3 linked regions of the Drosophila melanogaster genome follow. The protein of the gene in region 2 interacts with the protein of the main gene of each other region in a pairwise test. Each region holds a gene or a part of one and is shown on either strand. Other genes may lie near its edges.

Region 1 (3,372 bases), on a different chromosome or scaffold from region 2:
TGGCAGCCGCAATGTCGCCCAAGGAGTTCGTGTGCCATGTCCTGCGTCCTGCGTCCTGCGTCTTTCGTCCTGTGTACTATGTACTGTGTCCTTTGCACTCGACTGCGCTGAGTCGAGTTAATGAAAGGCCAAGTCAAATGCCTCACTGATTGCATTGACATCCTTCTGGCCCTTTTTGGCCCTCTTGGCCCAAAATGTATTTGGCCAAACTTTACGTATGATTTGCTGGGAAAATTGAAATTTGCCCTGCATCCTGTGGGGTCGACTGGGATTCATTATTACGTCCACACATCCGCCCCATCAAGTCGGTTCTGCAGTTCACAGTCTGCGATTTGCATTTCAATTATGTTCAAATTGCATCTTCCATATCTGCCATTTCAAATATTATTCAAGCAGGGGGAAAATTTTGTGTTTGGCTTCCCAGTCCACCCATATATGTACATATGTACATGCATACATACATATTTGGTCAGCAAACTGAAATTTTCTGTTATTTATTTGGCCATGTTTCTTGCGAATTTTCGGAAAATAAAGACTCTGATTGACTTATTATTGCATTATGTATTTCCACCAGTTCTACGTTACTTTGCATAAAACAAATCAATAAAAAGCAGACGAGTTTAAAACAATGCATGTCTACTATTTTGCTCTAATACAATTATTAATCACTGTATACAAATAATAATAATGAAAATCACACTTATACTAAGCACAATCGTGTGTAATTTCCATTAGAGGGCGTTTGATCTGATTAGAAGACTCAACAATGAACTGTGATGAAGCCCATTGTGTCTGTCATGTGTGTGTACATATATGTATGTAGTAATGTATATATGTATACTTTATTTTTTGTTTATTTGGTAAATTACGAGGCGATAGTTCCACTCTGCTTGCCCTTAAAATAACACTGGAGAATCAGGTATGGATAGTCGCACGTGTCCAGATTGGTGACGCCATCGAACTGCTGCTTACACTGGGACAAAATCACGTGGTCCTCTTGAGATCCTCGCTTTCCCACCTTCTGCAGATCGATTTTCCCATCATCACCGAAATAATCCTGGATCAGACACCGGCTATAGCACTTAACGGCCACTGGAACATCCGCAACGGGAGTGGATGGAGCCACTGCCTGCACTTGGGCACTGGTCAGATTGTGGTGCTTTAGGCAACCCTCTGCGTTAACGCGGCCAGCTGATTGCCACTAGAATAGATGGTATTGTTAGATGGACACATAACTATTTCGTTAAGAACTGACCATAGTTATCAAGCAAATCCATAGTACAGCTATGCTGCACACAACCTTCATGGCGAAAATCTGTTTCCCAACTAACAATGAGCGCATCATCACAGCTCTATATATATAACCCATCGATTTGCTAATTCAGCTCAAAAGTAGACAGGAGATTTTAATTAAATAATTGGATGCTACTTTACATTCGCCACACACCAACAAATAAAGTCTATAATTGAAATTTTAAGCGCAGTTCCCGATTATGAGCTACACGTATGTCGTATGCGCAATATCTGCATTACAATTGCCAATAGTAAATTACCAACTTGGTTTTCTTCATATTTATTAAGATAGAAAACATACAATTTTTGGCTTTTACACTCCAAGCATCTCTGAAGTTTAAACAAAAAACATATGTGTAGCCTATCTACTGTATTGGACTTTATTCGTATATTTTATATGGTTCATTAATATAGGTATAAATACAAATTATATTCACGCTTTGCGATTTGCAGCGAATATCACATCTTATACACGATGTAAAAAAAAAAAAAATATTTCGTCATGTTTTTAGGTTGGCCGCAGGCAGTGCTCACTGTACCGCCACAATGTTTATCGTTTTGCATTTTTTTTTTCTTTGTTTTCTTGCGGTTTCCCCTAATTATCTTTAGTATAAACTTAGTCTACTGTCTTTTTTGGTAAGTATTTTCGTGATGGGCTCGTCTATGCGAATTCCCATTTCCAATGAATAAATAAAGTAATTAGAACATTAAAATTAGCAATAAAACACGTACATTTAAAGCTGACAACAAAAAAAAAAAGTATTCTTATGTTAAACTGTAGTATGTGCCTATGCAATATTAAGAACAATTAAATAAAATAGCATATTAACTTATGGCAGCACTTTGTTGCTATGTTTATGTTTATGTTTATGCACGCAGTTAGGCCAGGGCGGATGTAACATGATCACCCACTCGAAGGCAAAAAGTATAAGTGCATGGTCAGCATTCACACGCCGACCAAATACATATTACATACGTACATACATATCTCGCTCTCCCGATAAGCCTAGATATATAAGATATACATAAGAACGCCGCTCCGCTGCTGGCGTACCCGGCAGCGCAGCTACGCGGATTAGCCTAAGTCCAAATATATTAAAAACTGTAAAATCAGAGAGACTCTGTAGACGTTGAGCTGACAGAACCATTTCTGCCTACTCTAAAATCAAAAGAAGAAATTGAATAAATATATGTCAGCCCGACGGCTGCCTTCAACTTAAAACGGACTTGTGTTCTGAATTGGAGTTCATCATTACATGGCGACCGTGACAGTCGTCCAACGCTGGACGAATTGACCAAAGCTGGTGAAAACAAAGGAACAAAGGAACACTGGACTGGAAGAAGACTGGACTAATTAAATGGAACTGCAAAAACCAAGGAAAAATCTGAGTGAGTAGAGTTCTATTGAGTATGGGCAAACACCGTGGCGGTTTGAAAACTAAGCTGAATAAACGTATAGCCCACGTAAGGTGGCTAATATACGGTCAGCAAACGCCACCGGTTTGGTCGAAAGCTCTAAAGCTACATGCAGAGCTAGACCACTTGTTGCAATATCAGCAAGAATTAAAGACCCATAAGCTCGAGAAAACTCACTCAGATAATATTAAAAATATACCCACAATTAATGAAGTTCCAAAATACCAGGCATGTCCAGCACCAGCACCAGCATTAACAAAACCAAAGAAGTCCTGCCCCCCTGGCTGCGAAGGAATCTGGAGTCCCCACTGCCTGGGGACTTGTGAGCGACCATCGACGTCTTCAGCGGCGAAGAAATAGACAGCAGCGAGGGAGTGTCAGCGTGCCACCCCCGGCGACGCCCAGCTGACACCTGATGAGCATCATCAACAGCAGAATATAATAATAAATATATATAAATATAAAGTAAATATAAAATATATATAGATAAGAAAAATTGTAAGAAATATTGTAAAACGGAGCATATACTATTATGCCCTGTTAACCCAATATGGCCCGTGAAGCCATAGCTAGAATCAGGCAGGCAACAATGTAAAATACAATTTTTTTTTACTCTTGCGAACATTGAAAGATTTTATAAATAGATAATTCCAAACATAAATG
Region 2 (3,764 bases):
GTTCCATCCGTTGCTTCGACAGATGCAACGAGTCCAGGGACAGCAAAGAAGCAGGCGCCTGAATTGTTCGCTGGGAAATCGTTGGGGCGGGTGAGTGGCACACAGAGGCGGTTCGCATGGACAAATTGCTATTGCTGATATCACTGTATCCACTTAACTGCTGACTGAGCATGCTCAGCGTTTCATCATCGCATTCGTCCGCACAGAGGCGATGGAAGCTCTCACAGGCAGACTCGTCCCGATTCACTTGGCTCAACAGATTGGTCCGGTTGGTGGCCAACAAAACAAGGGTTACAAAACTTCCCACCAGCTGTTTAAAGAATTTGTTAAATAAGATTCAAATATAAGTAAATGCACTTACTATAAAGGATATTCCACTGATGTAAGGATCCAGGAATTCGATACCCATGGCATACCCACTCCATAACAATAGAGCAATGGTGAATCGCGTAAATTTCAATCCGTCGTATATCGTGTGCAGGAAACACAGGGCCAGCATGGCATATGGGTAGATCCCAATAAAACAGGATGCGAAGGTTGCTTGCTGCACTTGCTGTTGGCCTATGCCAAGCGAATACAGCAAGAGCTTGCCAAAGGTACGGCCATACAATAAAAGTTTGGCTATCATTTCGCGCTGTTCCAGGAAAATGCCTACGCTCGAAGTCACCACTCGAATTAAGGCCAGCACGTGGGAGTAGGCGTAGAACAAGGTTAGCCCAATGAATTTTCCAAGGTAAGTCGTAAACTGAATGGAAGTTGCATTCGGCAGCCGGCAGAGCAGGCACAAAATATTGACTACAGTCAGGATGGTCATCAGAATGCGGTATCGCTGCAGTTTAAACTGCTTTTGGGCAGCGGCCAATCGGTTGAAGTGCGGCTGCTTGAGCAACGATGCTCCCTTGATGATATAGTTCAAGAACTTGGAGCTCAACACCATTTTCTTCTTCTCGTGCAGGACTTTATTCACATGTCGTTCGCAGCTGCTACACAGGCGAAACTGCTTCTCCAGTCGTTCTCTACGGAAAACATAAATATTATTATTTAATAACTTGTGCCCCAGCTTTTATATTAAAGGTTCTCTATTAATAGATATAAATTATAAATCGGCTTACTCATAGAAACTATCTAATCTAGTTAACTTGTCTTTGATTTGCAAACCGATGTAGATACGGGTATTTAGATCATATTCAGACATACATTTGTATGTTTGTTGTATATCTTATTTGCTTGACTTAAACACGATTAACTCATTTATAAAACACATCAAGCTAAATTACTTTGCTTGATTCTTAGTAAACATAGATACCATAACATTGTATATATAATGCTTATTGTTATGACAGCTCACCTGTAAACCTTTAGTTCCTGATCGAATCGGGACTCGTTCTTGGGCTCGAATTGAGAGAGCTTCTCGACCTTCAGGCGCTGCGCCTCGTTGCACTGGTCGCACAGGCCGTTTTTGGGAGCAGGAGGTTGAGCAGTCAGGACATCGGAATAATATGAGTTGGCACAGATGCTGGAGCTGCCTTTGGAGCTGTTCTTTTGGGAGCCAAGGCTGCAGTCCCGCTGCGACGTAATATCCCGGTTGTAGTCGCCGTCCTTGGTGAATCCATTGTATTGCTCGCATGACGGGCAGGTCCAACTGTTGCGATCCTGGTACGGAACTCGTACATTGCCATTGCAGAACCAGCAGTTGACACGGGCGTCGTAGCGGGATCTGTAGACATTGCAGGTTAGTTAGTCTGGACTATTATAACTCAATGCATCACTTACCGTATGCTAATATAAACCTTGAACAGAAACGTGCCGGCCACAAAGAGAATAGCACAAACAGGTATGGCCGTCGCCGCCAGCCGAATTAGTAGGGTTAGCATCGCTTTAGTATTTCGGTAATCTGTCACGCTTATCTATGCAGTCAAGCTGGTGCCTCTGTGGGTCACGGAGTCACTTAGCTATCCAAATGCCAGCTAGAGATCCACTTTTTCCAAACGAAACGCAACGCCGGCATGCAAGTCGGCATTAGCGCGCGCAGAAAATAACCACAAAATAATACAGCGGAACTTCTAGCGATGGCAGTAGTTAGGCGATGCGATAGTTTCTACAGTGTGCATCCTATGTTTTCTGGCCTTTGAGGAGAGCTGTGGCGAAATGTTAAGGTGGTAACACACTGTAAGTTGTTTTTCGTATTATTTTTTATTATTTATTTTATTTTTATTATTTATTTATTTTGTAATAATATTTGTGTAATATTGTAAATATTATAATATAAATATTATTATAATATTAATATTAATTATTATATTATAATAATATTATAATATTATAATAATTATTATATTATATTATTATAATATTAATATTAATATATATTAATATTATAATATAATTATATATATATATAATATAATATAATAAATATTGTAATATTTATTTTTGTAAATCCTTCCCAAAGAAGTGGACATTATAACATCGAAATAGGTCAGTCAATAGCTTATAATAATAATATAAAAATAGTTGTTAACAGTTTGTTGTCGCTAGAATTTACAGGATCTGCTTAGTAAGAGTATAATATATACACTATTAACAATGAAAAAAAAATGTACCTTTATAGTTCCTAAATTTAGAAAAAAATTTTAATTATTTAAATTTTTCAAAGTTTGTATCTGGCTTACATCTGGTGTTTATTTTTAAGCCCAGCAAGATTATACTGGAAGATATCTTTTCAACTGAGTTTAATGTGATAAAATGGACAAAAATGTATTCCCTTTTAATACATTTTTCAACATAGCTACTATCTTTCGATTAAACTTTGTATTTATTTCATTGACATTAATTAAAACTTAATGTTATGTCAGGCAAGTGGGATGTTTTAGCACACTAAAACGGGATTTGCGTTTTATTCGTTTTCATGTAGTATGGCCACACTGCGGCCATCGTATAAAAGCCCGCGCTCTCCAAAGCGAATGCACTAATTTTTCCAAGTGTGTGAAGCGGACAGTTTGTGTTGTGTTCGACTGCTATAAGCGAAAGATAATTTTAAGTTAAAAGTTCAAAAGCCTAAAACAAATACAAAATGAGGGAAATCGTTCACATCCAAGCTGGTCAGTGCGGCAACCAAATCGGCGCCAAGGTAAGTTTTCCCATTTGCATTTTCCATTCATTTTCCATCCAGAGTACAGTTGCCAAAATGGCGTCATTTTTGCACGACTTCGCTGTCCATGTGGCAAAAATTTGTATTGAGGCCGGCATTTTCACACTCACACATTTGCATTTATGTATACCAAGTTGTGTGCGTGTGTGTGTCGAGTGGTCTTTTTGAGTCCCGGCATCTGTGTTTGTATATACCGCATATTTGTCCGATTTCGCAAAGATGCTTGAAAATTGTTGTTCTACTCTGGCATTTGGGGTCCAAAATTTAGAACGAAAGTTTGTTACGCCCGAATTTCCGATCGATATAATGCTTTAGGGCCATTGACATTCGCATATGTACTTCGTGCCCATATGTATGTACATATGTAAGTAATTATAGTTGGGTGTGTCTGCAATTACACCGACGCTGGTGGCTGTGTGTATGCCTGTGTGCGTGTTGCATGCATGAGTCATTTTCTCTTGGGCGAAAGACTTTCATAGTTTTTCACCGGTTGTGAAAGCCATTTCACTGCCCAGATGGTGAAGGGTACTTTTCTATCGTCAAAACACGATAGCTTTTCTACACGCACATAAGAGCTTGCTGCTCATTTGTATGTGTGAGCGTCGGCCGGTTT
Region 3 (3,160 bases), on a different chromosome or scaffold from region 2:
CCATTCGGTTGGGCTGCATCCAAGCCATCAAGGAGCGAATGTTATCGCTGCCCCCACTGCCAGAGGAATCGCACATACGCCAGATGCAGGAGCGTAGACGCATGGAAACGGAGCAGCGTATCCTCACCGAACAGCGCATGGCCATGGAAGCCTACGAACGAAATAACATGGCAGCTAACCAATCCAACGTTGGAGTTCCTGGTCCGGAAAGCGGATCCTTTGCCCAAGGGGTATGTAGACGAGGACTCTCTGCAAAGATCAATATGTAACCTCTGTGATTCCATTTGCTTCACAGTCTGATCTTCAATCTCTGAACAACTGGTCAGCACCGCAGGCGGCTAGCAAGTCCAGCCTGGACGATCCGCTGATCGAGCAGATAAACATCATTAAGGGCTACATCAAACAGGCTCGCCAGGACATGAACTTTGAGGTGGTGGAGACGCTGGAGCTAAATCTTCGCGAGCTACAGCGCGAAGTGTACGAGCGACAGCGCCAGTCCCAGGGAAGCACCGCCGCCTCACCCACAGAGGCCTAAGCAGTATCCTACATAGTTAAATGTATATTCATTCCCTCTATGACAAATTACATGGCTTACGTTACGTTACGAATTTGTGGTGTATATTGTGCGAAAAATTTTAGTTTGTGCGAAGTTTCTGTAAATCAAAGTTTGTGCGTTTGACGACAACTGAGACTATAAAATGCAACATCCTATTTCGATTGAGTCTATGACTTCAGGCCAACGGCAGCGATCAGTGCCTTGACCTTGGTAATGTAGGCGGCCTGGGCGTCGGTATTGCTCATTCCCTTGCGGTTGTTCCACGCCTCCCACTTGGCCTTGCCCTTGAAGTCCAGAAAGCCGGGCTTATCTGCATTGGATTAGAATTATCGATGGTGCAGCGGAGTGACGACTATGTCCGAGACCCACCTGTATTGCAATCCCCCACAGTGGCCTGTTTGTACAAGCTGTAGAGCTCCAAAAGGTCATTGTCCCCGGGTGTGGTGTTTAGGTTCTTAACATCTTCGGCCGCCTGGTTGAATTCCTGTTTAGGTTAAGTTTGAATAGGTAATCAGACTTTAAGATACGAATGCGTATTTGACGTAGATTCAGTTCACCTGCAATTCGGACATTTTTGTATCTATTTTTTAACTAGTGGAAGTCTTTGGAAAAGAAATTGCACGATTTTACTTCACCGAATCTATCGGCGTCTATCGATATCTGGTCTATACTTTTGTGTGACCAACAGTTTTTCAATTTAGAGTGGACAAGCTGTTGCGTTTTATTTCGCGGGTCTGGCAGCCTATACACTTAAAAGATTCGAAGTCTAATTTCATATTGAGAACTGAGATACATTATTACGATGATAGTTAGGAACATGTGTAACAGTTGGTAGACAGTTTCTTGCCAAAACAATTGTGTTTTGAAAAAAGCTATGGAATAATATGAACAATATCCAAAATAGTCCGTTAAGATTTTCAAGACATTAACGAAATATTTTAAAAACCTTCCAATGTTGATTGTCTCAATTGAACATCTTTCAGCCCACTGTCCTGCTCTCTCCAAATGTGGCAACAAAAATGAGAGGCTTATGGCGCGTGAAACATGATTTCTATTAGTAACATATGGAGTAATGATGTGCTGTACGTCAACGTTTTGAACAGTTGTACATAGTAATTAAAATGTATCAATATTAAGAGGAAATTTAATATATAACTACTTCTTAAATACACAAAATACAATTGATTTCTAGCATATGTGGCCATATTAGACATCATCAATACATGAATTTAACTCATTTCATGATATGACACCCGCATAAACGCATTGTGAGAGCGGGAGAGCGTGGGTATTTAAGGAGAAGGTAGCGCTAACCACTCATTCAGTTCGAAATGTTTTCATCTGCGTTGGTCGTGCGTCCGGTGCTCCGCTAAAAGTAACAAAAAGTGCACAAATTGCCGGGAGAAAATGTTACATTAACGATATTTTCGGTTAATGCTGAGCACACGGATACGGATACTACGCTATATACGCAGTTCGCAACCAAAATCGATGCAATACGCGGATTTGGGCAAACACAACGCAGTGCCTGTAAAAATCGAAGCCGAAACGAAACAATAACAAATGCGCTAAAGTTCTTACCAAATAATTTGCACCGTCAGAAAAAGAGTGGTGAAAAGTGGTCAAAAGTGATCGAAAAGATCTGAAAAGTTCGTTAAAATAAAGAAAGTGTATGGTTAAGTGTGCGTTCCTGGTGATAAATCGGTAAAAATCGTTCGCTTTCGTTTTTGTTGTGGTCGCCGTTCGCAGAGCTTATGCAAATGTGGTAAGACACCGTGGAACTTGGCCATATTTTCTCTGTTTTGCTCGACTCCGAATGCCTAGCAACTCGATAAAAAGGGCGCTAAATAGCTGAAGCTGAAGGTCTTTCGACTCGTCAAACAAATTCGAGATTCACAAATAACAAGTGTGAAGAGCAGGCAAACAAGAAAACCAAACGCATTTGATTTCCCATTCTGATTTCCCGTGTTCTAGTTCTTTGTGTTTTTCTCACTTCTCACTTCCCCCTCTCCATCTCTTTCTGCCCCGCTGGCTTTTGTTTGACTTTCCTGGCCATAGCCCGATCACGCCATCTCGCTCGCACACCGTGTATTTTCAGCTGTTGATCTATTTTTAATTTCATTATCGCGTACTGCAAGTTTTTTAAATCCGTTTCTGTGTCAATTAGTTTGAGGAATTAGCGCAGGCACGGAAAAGCGTCAAATCAGCGCAAATAACTTTCATTTATTTACATTTCTCTGCCGCGATAAGCGTTTCAGTAGTAAACCCCTTTCATTTAACAAGTATTTACTTTCAAGTGCGGCGATAACACCACTAGAAGTTAACCCATTAGCGGTCAGATAACTCATGGTCATGGATGAACGCTTAAAACGCGAGTCATAATCATAAGTCAGATGGGAGTGGAGAACAAAATATTAGTACAAAAATATACATATATACTGAACAGAAGTTTCAAGTTTTTTTTACCGGATGTCCCTTTGCTCATCCAAGCTTTATAATAAGTTTAGTTTCGTAAATAAATAAATGTTTTTTTTTTTTTTTTAATGTTTCTAATATTTTGATAGCAGCTGCGTTCTTGCTTTGGGGATTAAAAACTGGGCTTTA

What was found.
Region 1: the proteins of CG7744 (region 2) and Obp18a interact in a two-hybrid assay, tested with the Drosophila melanogaster proteins (one large-scale study listed by BioGRID).
Region 3: the proteins of CG7744 (region 2) and Acbp1 interact in a two-hybrid assay, tested with the Drosophila melanogaster proteins (one large-scale study listed by BioGRID).

What each region holds. Positions count from the first base shown.
Region 1 is NC_004354.4:19,134,538-19,137,909, forward strand, and holds Obp18a (Odorant-binding protein 18a), read right to left. Parts: upstream 1,332-3,372; 5' UTR 1,307-1,331; coding exon 1,256-1,306; intron 1,202-1,255; coding exon 866-1,201; 3' UTR 544-865; downstream 1-543.
Region 2 is NT_033778.4:19,450,799-19,454,562, reverse strand, and holds the start of CG7744 (uncharacterized protein), read right to left. Parts: upstream 2,060-3,764; 5' UTR 1,875-2,059; coding exon 1,774-1,874; intron 1,718-1,773; coding exon 1,349-1,717; intron 1,017-1,348; coding exon 362-1,016; intron 311-361; coding exon 1-310.
Region 3 is NT_033779.5:8,161,198-8,164,357, forward strand, and holds Acbp1 (Acyl-CoA binding protein 1), read right to left. Parts: upstream 1,256-3,160; 5' UTR 1,129-1,255; coding exon 1,114-1,128; intron 1,041-1,113; coding exon 926-1,040; intron 867-925; coding exon 724-866; 3' UTR 599-723; downstream 1-598. Other genes in the region: Rbsn-5 (Rabenosyn-5), read left to right, coding at 1-230, 296-535.